3 linked regions of the Sus scrofa genome follow. The protein of the gene in region 1 purifies or fractionates together with the protein of each later gene. This does not show direct contact. Links are inferred from orthologs where the notes say so. Each region holds a gene or a part of one and is shown in the gene's direction. Other genes may lie near its edges. The genes, in order: CRY1, FBXL3 and SKP1.

Region 1 (4,267 bases):
TAAGATTATTATGAGGGCTCATAATAACCAATATAAAGTGCCTGACCTATAGTAGGTGTTAAGTCAAAGTTTTTATTAAATGGTTACTCCTCTCAAAGATATATTAACAATCTATATGCCATTAAAAACCCTTCAGTCTCTGAGGAATGCACAATTGACAGTACTGATGCTTTTATAAAAAGTTAGTACTTTTAGGTGTAATGAAAGTTACATACATCCACATACAGCTATTTAAGAAAAAAAAAAACCCTTCTTTATTGAATGGACAATAGGCAAAAATAAGGCAATTCTACACAAATCAATACTACTTACAACTGTTGCATTTGGATGCTTGAAAATAATTCTTGTGTCTTTAGACACAATCTGCTTACTTTCAAACTACCTAAAATGAAACATGAAACACTTTTTAAAAGTATAATAGGCTCTGGAGCATGAAGCATTGCCTCTAGAAAGGTAGGCAAAGGCCCCATCACAAAGAGCCCTATAAACCGCACCAACTTTAAGAAACTAGGGCTGACAAGTTGACAATATACAGATGGTATCAAGGAATTGCAGTAACACCTGGCACCAATCCTATGAATTACCCCTCTTCCCCAGAGCACGTGCAAGGGTGCTCTGCCTCGAGGGCCACAAGAATGAGAAGGACGCCAGCTCTACACGCTCCAAGGCAGGGTTGGGTTCTGCAGTCAAGCTGGAAGGAAGCACATGGTTTGGGCTCCACGTCTAAGGGGAGCCTCTTACTCCGCTCTTTTCACCGCATACCGCCCGCACTCCCCACCTGGCGCCCCCACCGCCTCCTGTTAAGACACCAGGAAGCTTCCTGGCCTTCCCCCGAAACCCCCCGGGAAAAAGCCCCAAGCGCGCTCCAGCAGCCCGGCCCCGCCTTCCTCGCCTCCCTCCGTAAGGCAGCGAGTGCGCACGCGCGCCTACCGGAACTGAGCGCGCGCTCGCGAACTCCCCGCATACCCGTGCTCATCCGGGTCTCGGAGAGCCTCGGCCAATGGTGGCCGCTCACGGCCCCCGAGGGCGGGGCTAAATCTTGCCTCACACGGGGCCTCTGGTCACCGTGGGCGCTTTCAGGCAACGGCGACTCGTCCGCGGAGGAAAGGACAGAGGCAGAGAGTCTAGCGTCTGGGCGAGGGTCGACGGTTTTGAGATGGAGCGGCTGCCGTCTAAAAATTAGAGACTGAATAGCGAGCAGAGTCCCCAGTCAGAGCCGCTGTAGTAAACACACTTCAGAAACGTGAGGTGCCGGGGGTCACGTGGGGAGCGCTCTGTCCAATGAGGAGCCGAGGGCGGGGCCAAGGCCGCTGACGCGGCGGTGGCGGAGGAGTCACCCGGGCAGCCTCGGGACCGGTCTCGGGCCGGCAACCGTCCAGCGGCTTTGACCACCGCCTCAGCGTTCCGTCCTCACGCCTCTTTCCTGGGCCGAGAGGTAGCGTGGCCGACAGTCGCTGAATTCTCTCTCCTCCCTGTCGGTGGTTTGCCTCAGGCGGGCCGTTTGCGCTTCAGGGGCCGCCTCCGTGGGGCGAGGTTTCCGTGACGAATCTCCTGGGGCTGCCCGCGCCGGCTCGGGCCGTCGTGGCGGCTCGGGCTCGTGGAACTTGCTCATCCTCCGGGGGTCCGGAGCCCTCGAAGTTAGGCGTCTCATCCAGGCGGTCGTGGCGGGTGCCGGCTCTTAAAGGGCGTCACGGCAGGACTCCGCTGACTGGGCAATCTCCATTCATCTTCCAGCCGCACGGGCAGCGCCCTCTCCCTCGCGGGTCCCCTACTCGGACTCATTTTTTCCTTTCCCCGCTCTGCTGCCCTTTCCTCACTCCTTGGGTGCGGCGATTCTCCTGGAAGCGGGGGTGTCGGTTATGAGCTGGACCCTCTTGCCCTGAATTTCTCGGGGCAGGAACTCGGCGGCGCCGCCGCGCCGCCTGCCGCCCACCGCGCCCCCGGGATGGGGGTGAACGCGGTGCACTGGTTCCGAAAGGGGCTCCGGCTTCACGACAACCCCGCCCTGAAGGAGTGCATTCAGGGCGCCGACACCATCCGCTGCGTCTACATCCTCGACCCCTGGTTCGCCGGCTCTTCCAATGTGGGCATCAACAGGTGGAGGTGAGTCAAAATCCTGTGAGAAATTGATTTCGTTGTTTCATGAATTGGGACTTTACGTGCGATCGACCACATCTAAGAATGTAGACCTGGGACCGCTGTGCTTATGCAGTTTTAATTATTGCAGGTGCTTTAAGCATTAAATAGAATGGGCTTAATGGTTCTCTGGCCGAAGAGTGCCGGCAGCCTGGAACACCTTGGCCTTCAGCTATGAGTTATGTATCTCTGTGCTGATGAGGACTCTTCTGCGTTTATGGAAAATTCTTAGTGGGGGAGTTAAAGAACCACCCCTTCCAATTAAGTGGCCATGGATTGATTTCCTTGGCCGCCGTGTGACACTGAAGGGATTGCGGTTTTTAATGTTTACGTTTGTGTGTGTCTAGGTAACTCATAGAATGGAGAAAATCATTCATTCAGTATTGTCGCCTCCAAACCCAGTTTTCTTCCACCTTGAGGTTGTTTTGGGAAAAGCAAGGAAGACTACATTTCCCTTTGCTCAACTCTTTCAACTCCTCCTTGTGGTTGACTAGACACAGCACAGTTTTTCTTTCTAAGCAAAGTATAATCCTAGGATTCAGAGCACTGGAAGAAATCTTAGAGAAGTTTTACCATCTTTTCTCGAAATGCCAGGCTAGATGATTGTTAGACCGCCTGGTGGAATGAGAATATTCATTCAGCTGACAGATTATTGATCACCTACTGTATACCAGGCACTGTTTAAAACACCAGGGATACAGTTATTGAATGAGACAGACAGAAATTCTTGTCCTTTTTGAAGACATGTCCCAGAAAGTATATAGTATTTAGTGGTGATAAATGATGTGCAGAAATACAGAGAAAGGGGATGAAAAATACGACGGGGTGGGATTGGAGTTGCAATTTAAAATATGGTGATAGGGAAAAACCCATATTGAGCAAGATGATGAAGCAAGTAATAGATTACAGATACCTAAGGAAAAGCATTCCAGGGAGAAGGAACAGTAAGATAAAAGGTCCTGAGATGGAGATATTCTTAACCTTTGGAAAGAATAGCAGAAGAAACCGATCTACTGGAGCAGAGTAAATGAGAGGAAAAGTAGTAAATGAGGTCAAAGATGTAATGGGCCAGATTGAGTAGAGCTTTATAGGCAGTTGTCAAGATTTGGGCTTTTACTCATAGCAAAGTGGGAATAACTGTAGGAGTATGAGCAGAGAAGTGATGTGATTTGAATCAAGCTTTTAAAAAAGTCTCTGGCTGTGGTTCTGAGAACAGACTGAATTGTAGAGTGGAGGTGGGCAAGAAGCAGGAAGACCAGTTAGCAGTTCATTGCTTTCATCCAGGTGAGATATGATAATGGCTTAGACTGTAGTGATCATGGTGGACATAGTGAGAAATAGTCAAATGTTGCGTGTATGTTGAAGGCAGAACACACAGTATTTGTCAACAGATTGTATGTGTGACATAAGAGAAAGAGAAGGAATTAGGAATGATGTAAATTTTTTTGACTTGAGAAACGAGAAGGATGGAGCTGCTTTTTGCTAAGTGATTAGTGGGAAAGGCCATTGAAAGGGTGATTTGAGTTCTCTTTTGAACTTGGTTAATTTTGAGGTGTTTATTGCACATCCAAGTGGAGACAGCGGATAGGCAGTTGGATATATCTGCAGCTAAGGACAGAGACCCAGGCAGGAGGTATAAATTAGAGAATTATCAGTTTATAGATAATATTTAAAGCCATTTATTAATCCATTCATTCATTGAACAAATTCAGGTCATTCATCTACATGCCAGATACTTTTAGGTGCAGGGCATTCAGTATAAATAAAATAGCTAAAAAATCTCTACCTTGTTGAAGCTACATTCTAGTAGAGCCATGAGACTATATCAGAACATTAAGAGAGTGAGTATAGGTAGAAAAGAGAGGAGGTCCAAGAACTGAGCCTTGGGGAGTTCCCGTTGTGGTTCAGTGGATTAAGGAACCAATGTTGTCTCTGTGACAATGCAGGTTCCATCCTTGGCCTTGTTCAGTGGGTTAAGGATGCAGTGTTTCCACAAGCTGCCATGTAGGTCTTAGATGCGGCTTGGATTCACTGTTGCTGTGACTGTGGCATAGGTCTAAGTTGCAGCTCTCATTTGACCCCTAGCACAAGAACTTCCAACTGCAGGTGAGGCCACAAAAATAAAAAGGAA
Region 2 (3,650 bases), on another chromosome or scaffold:
AGACACACATCCTGAGGCTTGAAATCTTTTTTCTCCCTCAGGTAAAATGGCCCTTCTCAAAGATGGCCTATCTTTACCATATTCCCACAGTAGAGTGAGGGGCTGCTACCCAAACACAGTTGTGAAATGTATCGTTAAGGTTCCAGTGAACTATATGCTTAATATATGAAAAACCCTCAATTCTCATTTGTAAGAACTGAAACAATGTCTTAAATTTTGTGTTTTTCAGTCTCACTTTATCTCTGCACTGACAGTCGTGTTTGTAAACTCCAAATCCTTATCCTCGCTTAAGATAGATGATACCCCAGTAGATGATCCATCCCTCAAAGTACTAGTGGCCAACAACAGTGATACGCTCAAGCTGCTGAAAATGAGCAGCTGTCCTCATGTCTCTCCAGCAGGTTTGTTGCAATTCTTGCCAGATAACGTTTTAGTAAAATGTATTGATGTGTTTATCTAACAAAGGAGAGTTATGATCATTACTGTGAAGGTGGGTTCAAATGATTTCCTCTCTACTGTATACACATTTTTAAATGTCATAATACAATAGCATAAATTGTGTAGCACTCCTAGCCTAGACACTTATTTTCAAATCTTATTTGGCAGTTTGTGTCCAACCTGTGCTAGGAAACGGATAAATTAAAGGACAGTGTGAGGTTGGCCTGAGATGTAAGATAGGATTTTCTCTAATTGTGGTTGAGCTAACAGGGTTTTGAGTCAGAGCCATATCATAGTTGCTTTTCTTCCCACTATGTAGAGAAAGAAGGATTGTGCAGAAGTTGTTGCCTTAGATTTTGCAAGATAATGCTTTTCCTAAGTTGAGTTTTGGAGTCAAGAACCCATCAGATGGAGGAATAGCTTTATAAAAGTTCTTTCCAACTTTTCTTGTGTTTACTTTTCTAAGTGTTACTACATTATTGAATTTGAGATCATTTAAACTTTAAGTGGTTTGCACTGTGAAGCAAATATAAACCTACACTTCATATTAGTCTGTAGCTTCACTCCTGACTCACCCTCCCATTGTTGACCTCCCAACCCTTTGGCTGTGTTATTTGGGAAACCTGTTTTTTTTTTTTTTTTTTTTTTTTTTTTTCTCTCCTGTCTTTTTAGGGCTGCACCCACGGCTTATGGAAGTTCCCAGGCTAAGGGTCGAATCGCAGCTGTAGCTACGGGCCTACACCACAGCCACAGCAACCCACTGAGGCCAGGGATCTAACCCACATCCTCATGGATGCTAGTCGGGTTCGTTAACTGCTGAGCCACGACAGAACTCCTGGGAAACCTGTTTTGATCTCTTTACGGAACATGTCCCACCTTCTTGTTAAATCTAAAGGCTGGCCTTTCCCCAGGAAAATGATTCCGTCTCAGATGGAGATTGCTCGCTGCCCTTCCATGTCTCCCACATGGAAGAGCTGGTGATGGGAATGTCGAGGTCGGCTGCAGTGTTTTCCTAGCTTTTCCTGCTTCCTCTAGATCATTAGTGAAGGTGATACACTAAATAAAACAGAGGCTTAGAAGAGTGGGCTTCAGCTCTTCCTTCTTATGTGACCTTGGTCACATTTTACTTTCTACTGTGTGGGTTTCCCATGAGAGTAAGGTTCATACTTCGTAGCTTGAGTGTACAAAGTTCTTTGTATCCTGACCTCCACCTATCTCTTTAATCTTGCTTGCTGTTTACTCACGTGCAGCTTTATTTGAGCCCTATGTAGTGACAGTTCTTTGTACATGTCTGTGGTCAGTACAGTTTATCTTGTGGAGTACCTTTAAGAATTTTTTTTTTTCCACTTCATCCATCTAACTCCAGTTCAGCCTTCAAAATTCAGTTCAAGTGTTCCAGTTTTGTTCCTCTTTCACCCTCCTCCCAGGTTTAGAACCCCTGCCTGTTTCCATAGCACCCTGAACATAACTTGTAGCACTTACCACACTGTATGAGAGCCTTTGGGGCTCTGATTTCTTTGTGAAATTGAGAGCTTATTTTTCTTTTTATCCTGGTACATCCAGTGTTCATTTATTTTTTTTAAATATACACATCAATTCTCATAGTATGTTAAGACCAACCTTGCTTGGTCTTAACAAGCTCTAATGGCATTTGGACTAGTTGTTTTGGGAACAGAAAAGAAAGAGCGCCTGTAATACTTTTTTAACATAAGGGTATAAACATAGAGGATTTTATTTTCAAATTTAACATTTGTTTGGAGTGTCTGTCATGGCTCAGCGGGTAAGAAACCCAACAGAGTGTCTGTGAGGATGTAGGTTCGATCCCTGGCCTCACTCAGTGGGTTAAAGGATCCAGCATTGCCCCCAGCTGCAGCATAGGTCGCAGATGTGGCTTGGGTCTGGTGTTGCTGTGGCTGTGGCTGTGGCATAGGCCTGGCAGCTGCAGCTCCCATTCAGCCTGTAGCCTGGAACTTCCATATGCTTCAGGTGTGGCCATAAAAGATAACAACAGCAAAAACCCCCAAGAATCTACTGTCTAGCACAGGAAAATCTACTCAATAGTTAGTAATAAACTATATGGGAAAAAAGAATGGATATTAAAAAAAATAAAATTAAACATTTGTATATTTTCTTTCTATCCATATTTTGCATATTTAGATGGTTTCTTTATCTAAGTTAAATTAAGGGCTACTTTCTGTTCTACCTTTTTTCCTATTTCATATAGTCCTTACAATTGACTGTCTATTACCAGACCACTAAGCACCATTTGACACTACTGACTATTATTATTTTTTTTTTTGGTCTTTTGTCTTTTTAGGGCTGCACCCAAGGCATATGGAGGTTCCCAGGCTAGGGGTCCAATCGGAGCCGTAGCCACCGCCTACGCCAGAGCCACAGCCACAAGGGATCTGAGCCGCGTCTGCAACCTACACCACAGCTCACGGCAACGCCAGATCCTTAACCCATGGAGCAAGGCCAGGGATCGAACCCACAACCTCATGTTTCCGCTGTGCCAGGATGGGAACTCCACTACTGACTATTCTTGATTTTCCTCCTCCTCTGATTTTTCCTACTCTATTTCCTTTTCTAGTTTCTCTTTTCATTGCTTAAATTTTTGTGTTTCACTGTGTTCTATTCTGGGCCCTTCATCATTTTATTCTGTAAACCTCTGGTCTATGTTATCTTCATCAGGGGCTTCAGTTATGTTCTCTGTGTTAACACCTACGTTGAGTGCTTCTGGAACTCCAGAGCTGTGTGTTGAGCTGATGATGGCCCAGCGCCTCTAGAATGTCTCACTGCTACTTCAGATTAATGAACATCCTTTTCCCTATTGAAATCTCTGGCTTCTCCCTTTTTTACTGTCTCAGTGAATGGTACCACCCATTTAGTTGCAGGGACCTGAGAGACATCCTTGACTCCTCCTACCCTTTGCATTCCTTCAATCACTGAGGTCTAGTGATTCTCTCACTGATTCATGCTCTGAATCTCTTTGCTGTGAACTGAATGTTTGCGTTGTTCTCTTCCACCCCTCACCCCCTGCCACGAGTCACATGTTGAGGCCCTACTCCCTAGTGTTGGTGTTTGAAAATGAGTTGGGAGGTATTAGGTCCTAAGGGAGAAACCCTCATAAATATTAGTGCCCTTCTAAGAAGGGGTAGGAAAGATGATTTGATCTCCTTTTCTGCCATGTAAAGACACAGTGAGAAGGTGGC
Region 3 (3,650 bases), on another chromosome or scaffold:
CAGCAACGCGGGATCCGAGCCGCGTCTGCGACCTACACCACAGCTCACGGCAACGCCGGATCGTTAACCCACTGAGCAAGGGCAGGGACCGAACCCGCAACCTCATGGTTCCTAGTCGGATTCGTTAACCACTGCGCCACGATGGGAACTCCCTGGTATGTTTTTAATGCATTGTATAAGACATCTCTAATGCACAGCCTTCAGCACCTCTTTTGAGTTAAAATTGTTAAATTCATTGATACTGAATTTTAATTCTAAATTCAAATGCAGTGCTATATTTAAGTCCATGTATCAGTAACCACATTAAATGTAAATGGTCTAAACACCACAATTAAAGGGTAGAGGTTGTCACATTGGATAAAAAAGCAAGACAGCTGTTCTCTCTACAAAAAACTCACTTTAAATATATAAAGTCACAATTAGGTTTAAAAGGTGGAAAGAGATATTTTGCTAACAACAATCAAAAGAAAGCTGGAGTGACTATATATATTTGGGTATATTTCTGAGCAAAGAATATTACCAGGATTAAAGAGGGTTGTTGCATAATGATAAAGGGATCAGTTTGTTATTAAGAGGACATAGGAATCCTAAATGTTTATTTACCTAAAAGCAGAACTTCCAGAAAGTGAGACAAAAACTAACAGACTTCTAAAGAATAAGTAGGCAAATCTGCAGCCATGGTTAGATATTATAATACGTCTCCCTAATAATCAAGTAAACAGAGAATCAGTAAGGATATAGAGGGCTTAAATAACAACCAACTTGTCCTGATATTTTTATAACATTATATCTAATGACAGCAGAGTACATATTCTTTTCAAGTGTATCTTTCCATGTTGTGGACCTTAAAACAAGTCTCAAATTTGAAAGGATTTAGGTCACACAAAATGTGTTTTTTTTCTAATCACAATGGGATTAAGTTAGAAATCAGTAACAGCCATCTGGAAAATCTGCAAATATCTGAAAACTTAACACATTTCACAGTAACCCATGAATCGAAGAAATCAAAAGAAAAATTAATATTATGAACGTAATAGAAATGAAATACAATGTATGAAAATCTGTTAAATGCAGCTTAAGTAGCATTCAGAGGGAAATTGACAGTACTAAACACAAGTATTGGGAAAGGAGAAAAGTCTCAAATCAGTGATCTAAGCTTTTACGTTAAGAAACTTAGGAAATGGGGGAGTTCCCGTCGTGGCTCAATGGTTAACGAATCCGACTGGGAACCATGAGGTTGCGAGTTCGATCCCTGGCCATGCTCAGTGGGTTAAGGATCTTGCATTGCTGTGAGCTGTGGTGTAGGTCACAGAAGCGGCTTGGATCCCTTGTTGCTGTGGCTCTGGCGTAGGCCAGCAGCTACAGCTCTAATTTGACCCCTAGCCTGGGAACCTCCATATGCCGTGGGAGCAGCTCAAGAAATGGCAAAAAGACAAAAAAAGAAAAAAAAGAAACTAATGAAATGGAGTTTCTGTCGTGGCACAGTGGAAACAATCCAACCATGAGGTTGCAAGTTCTATCCCTGGCCTCGCTCGGTTAAGGATCCGGCGTTGCCGGGAGCTATGTGTAGGTCACAGATGCAGCTTGGATCTGGTGTGGCAGTGGCTGTGGTGTAGGCTGGCAGCTACAGCTTGGTTCCCTAGCCTGGGAACCTTTATATGCCGTGGGTGCAGCCCTAAAAAGACAAAACAACAACAGCAAAACACAACTAATGAAAGGTGAAATTCAACCCAGAGAGAGGAGGTATTAAAGATAACAGCAGAAATCAATAAAATAGAAAACAGTAGAGAAAATGAAAGAAAGTGAAAGCTGATTCTTTTGGAATTAATTAAGATGTGATTCTATAACAGCTTATATTGGAATTCCGTAAATATTTTTGTCAAGATTTGAGGTGTGTGCGTACATAAAACTGCCAGTAGTGGCCATTCTTTACCATTTGAGGTAGTGCAGTTTGCTGAAGGTAGCACAAGGATCAGTATTACAGAAGTATAACAAAGAAGGGGGCATGCAACAATCTTTCATGGAAGAATTTGTCATTTATTCATTTCTTAAAATTGACTACCGTTTTAAGCTGAATTAGATACGGATTCTTAGTCACTAACTTTGGATTTAATTTAAAACATCAAGTATACTTAAGTGAAAACAACAAAATTACTTTACAGGCAGCAAACTACTTAGACATCAAAGGTTTGCTTGATGTTACATGCAAGACTGTTGCTAACATGATCAAGGGGAAAACTCCTGAGGAAATACGCAAGACCTTCAATATCAAAAATGATTTCACTGAAGAAGAAGAAGCCCAGGTAGGTGGCTCACAGCTTATTCTTGATCAAATGCTTTTTTATGAAAGACTAAAACCCAAGCTAGGCAAAAGAAGTACTAATAGCAAGGAGTCTTGACCTTATTTGAGGGATAAAAGGTACCTTCTGTGTGCTAAATATTAATGATACTGTTTTTCATAAGTGTAAGAACAATTAGTATTCATCCAAAGGTGCTGTTTGATCATTTGTTCCTTAGCATTTACTAGTTTGGGCACCTAGAACCTTACATATAAGTCATCAATATTTGACTTGAGAAAAGCAGGCCCTATCTGTGGGTGATTGTGTGCCAGGATACCTCACAACGACTTAGTGAATGGGGAAGAAATGAATAAATCAGAATGGTTTTGTTGGCCCAGGTCAGCTGTAGTGACTAAAGCTGTAATTGTTCATTGCCTTTCCTTTTTTTTTTTTCTTTTTTTTTTTCCCTTGCGTTTTAGGGCCATACCTGTGGCACGTGGAGGTTTCCAGGCTAGGGGTCAAATCGTAACTACAGCTGCTGGCCTACACCACAGCTGAAGCAATGCTGGATCTGAGCCTCGTCTGGGACCTACACCACAGCTCACTGACAATGGCGGATTCTTAATCCACTGAACAAGGCCAGGGATCAAACCCCCAACCTCATTGTTCCTAGTTGGATTCGTTTCTGCTGTGCCGTGATGGGAACTCTGCCTTTCCTCTTTTTTTTTAGTGATTATTTGAGCAGGGCACAATAAAAAACTGGGGAGGGGAAAAAAAATGGTACTCTTAACCTAGTTTTTCCAGTTTTCCATCTATCTCTTTCTGACCCACCTCACAGGCTACTGATGAATCATGAGGCAGTAGACTTAGGAAAGACTACACGTGTTAAGGTACTTCCTTTCTATCTGTCTTTATTTCTTGTAGGTACGCAAAGAGAACCAGTGGTGTGAGGAGAAGTGAAATCTTGTGCCTGATGCTGAAACACTGTAAGGATATTTCCAAATACTAGTTGCACTGCTCTGTTTATAATTGTTAATATTCGAAAAACAGTCGACAAATGCAGCAGCAAATCAGTTGTGTTAGTGGAATATTGTTCTCATTGCATGTGTAGTTTCAGTACAGATTCCAAACCTATGGCTGAGTTTCTTCTAGTATGATCTAAAGTTTCTCTTTTCTTTGCTCTGAATAAAATTGAACTGTGGGTTCTCTATAGGAAGTGGCATATTGGGCTTTGCCTCTTTATGTAAAGCAATTTCTGCCTAGTTTATTGTCAGTTTACTTTAGTTTAGTGACTTGGAAAAGTTGGCATTGTAAATAAAGCATCTCAGAAAAATTTTTCTGAGATAGAATTAACAATGTATTATCTTTATT

Evidence for each region.
Region 2: the proteins of CRY1 (region 1) and FBXL3 purify together in Homo sapiens (affinity purification with mass spectrometry; 4 studies listed by BioGRID and IntAct, counting the BioPlex papers as one, with this or other methods). This does not show direct contact. The link is inferred for Sus scrofa from reciprocal best matches to the Homo sapiens genes CRY1 and FBXL3.
Region 3: the proteins of CRY1 (region 1) and SKP1 purify together in Homo sapiens (co-immunoprecipitation; 4 studies listed by BioGRID and IntAct, with this or other methods). This does not show direct contact. The link is inferred for Sus scrofa from reciprocal best matches to the Homo sapiens genes CRY1 and SKP1.

What each region holds. Positions count from the first base shown.
Region 1 is NC_010447.5:13,274,232-13,278,498, forward strand, and holds the start of CRY1 (cryptochrome-1), read left to right. Parts: upstream 1-1,317; 5' UTR 1,318-1,945; coding exon 1,946-2,103; intron 2,104-4,267.
Region 2 is NC_010453.5:49,137,848-49,141,497, reverse strand, and holds part of FBXL3 (F-box/LRR-repeat protein 3), read left to right. Parts: intron 1-229; coding exon 230-401; intron 402-3,650. UniProt on the Homo sapiens protein: Substrate-recognition component of the SCF(FBXL3) E3 ubiquitin ligase complex involved in circadian rhythm function. Plays a key role in the maintenance of both the speed and the robustness of the circadian clock oscillation.
Region 3 is NC_010444.4:136,459,230-136,462,879, reverse strand, and holds part of SKP1 (S-phase kinase-associated protein 1), read left to right. Parts: intron 1-2,162; coding exon 2,163-2,303; intron 2,304-3,203; coding exon 3,204-3,239; 3' UTR 3,240-3,650. UniProt on the Homo sapiens protein: Essential component of the SCF (SKP1-CUL1-F-box protein) ubiquitin ligase complex, which mediates the ubiquitination of proteins involved in cell cycle progression, signal transduction and transcription.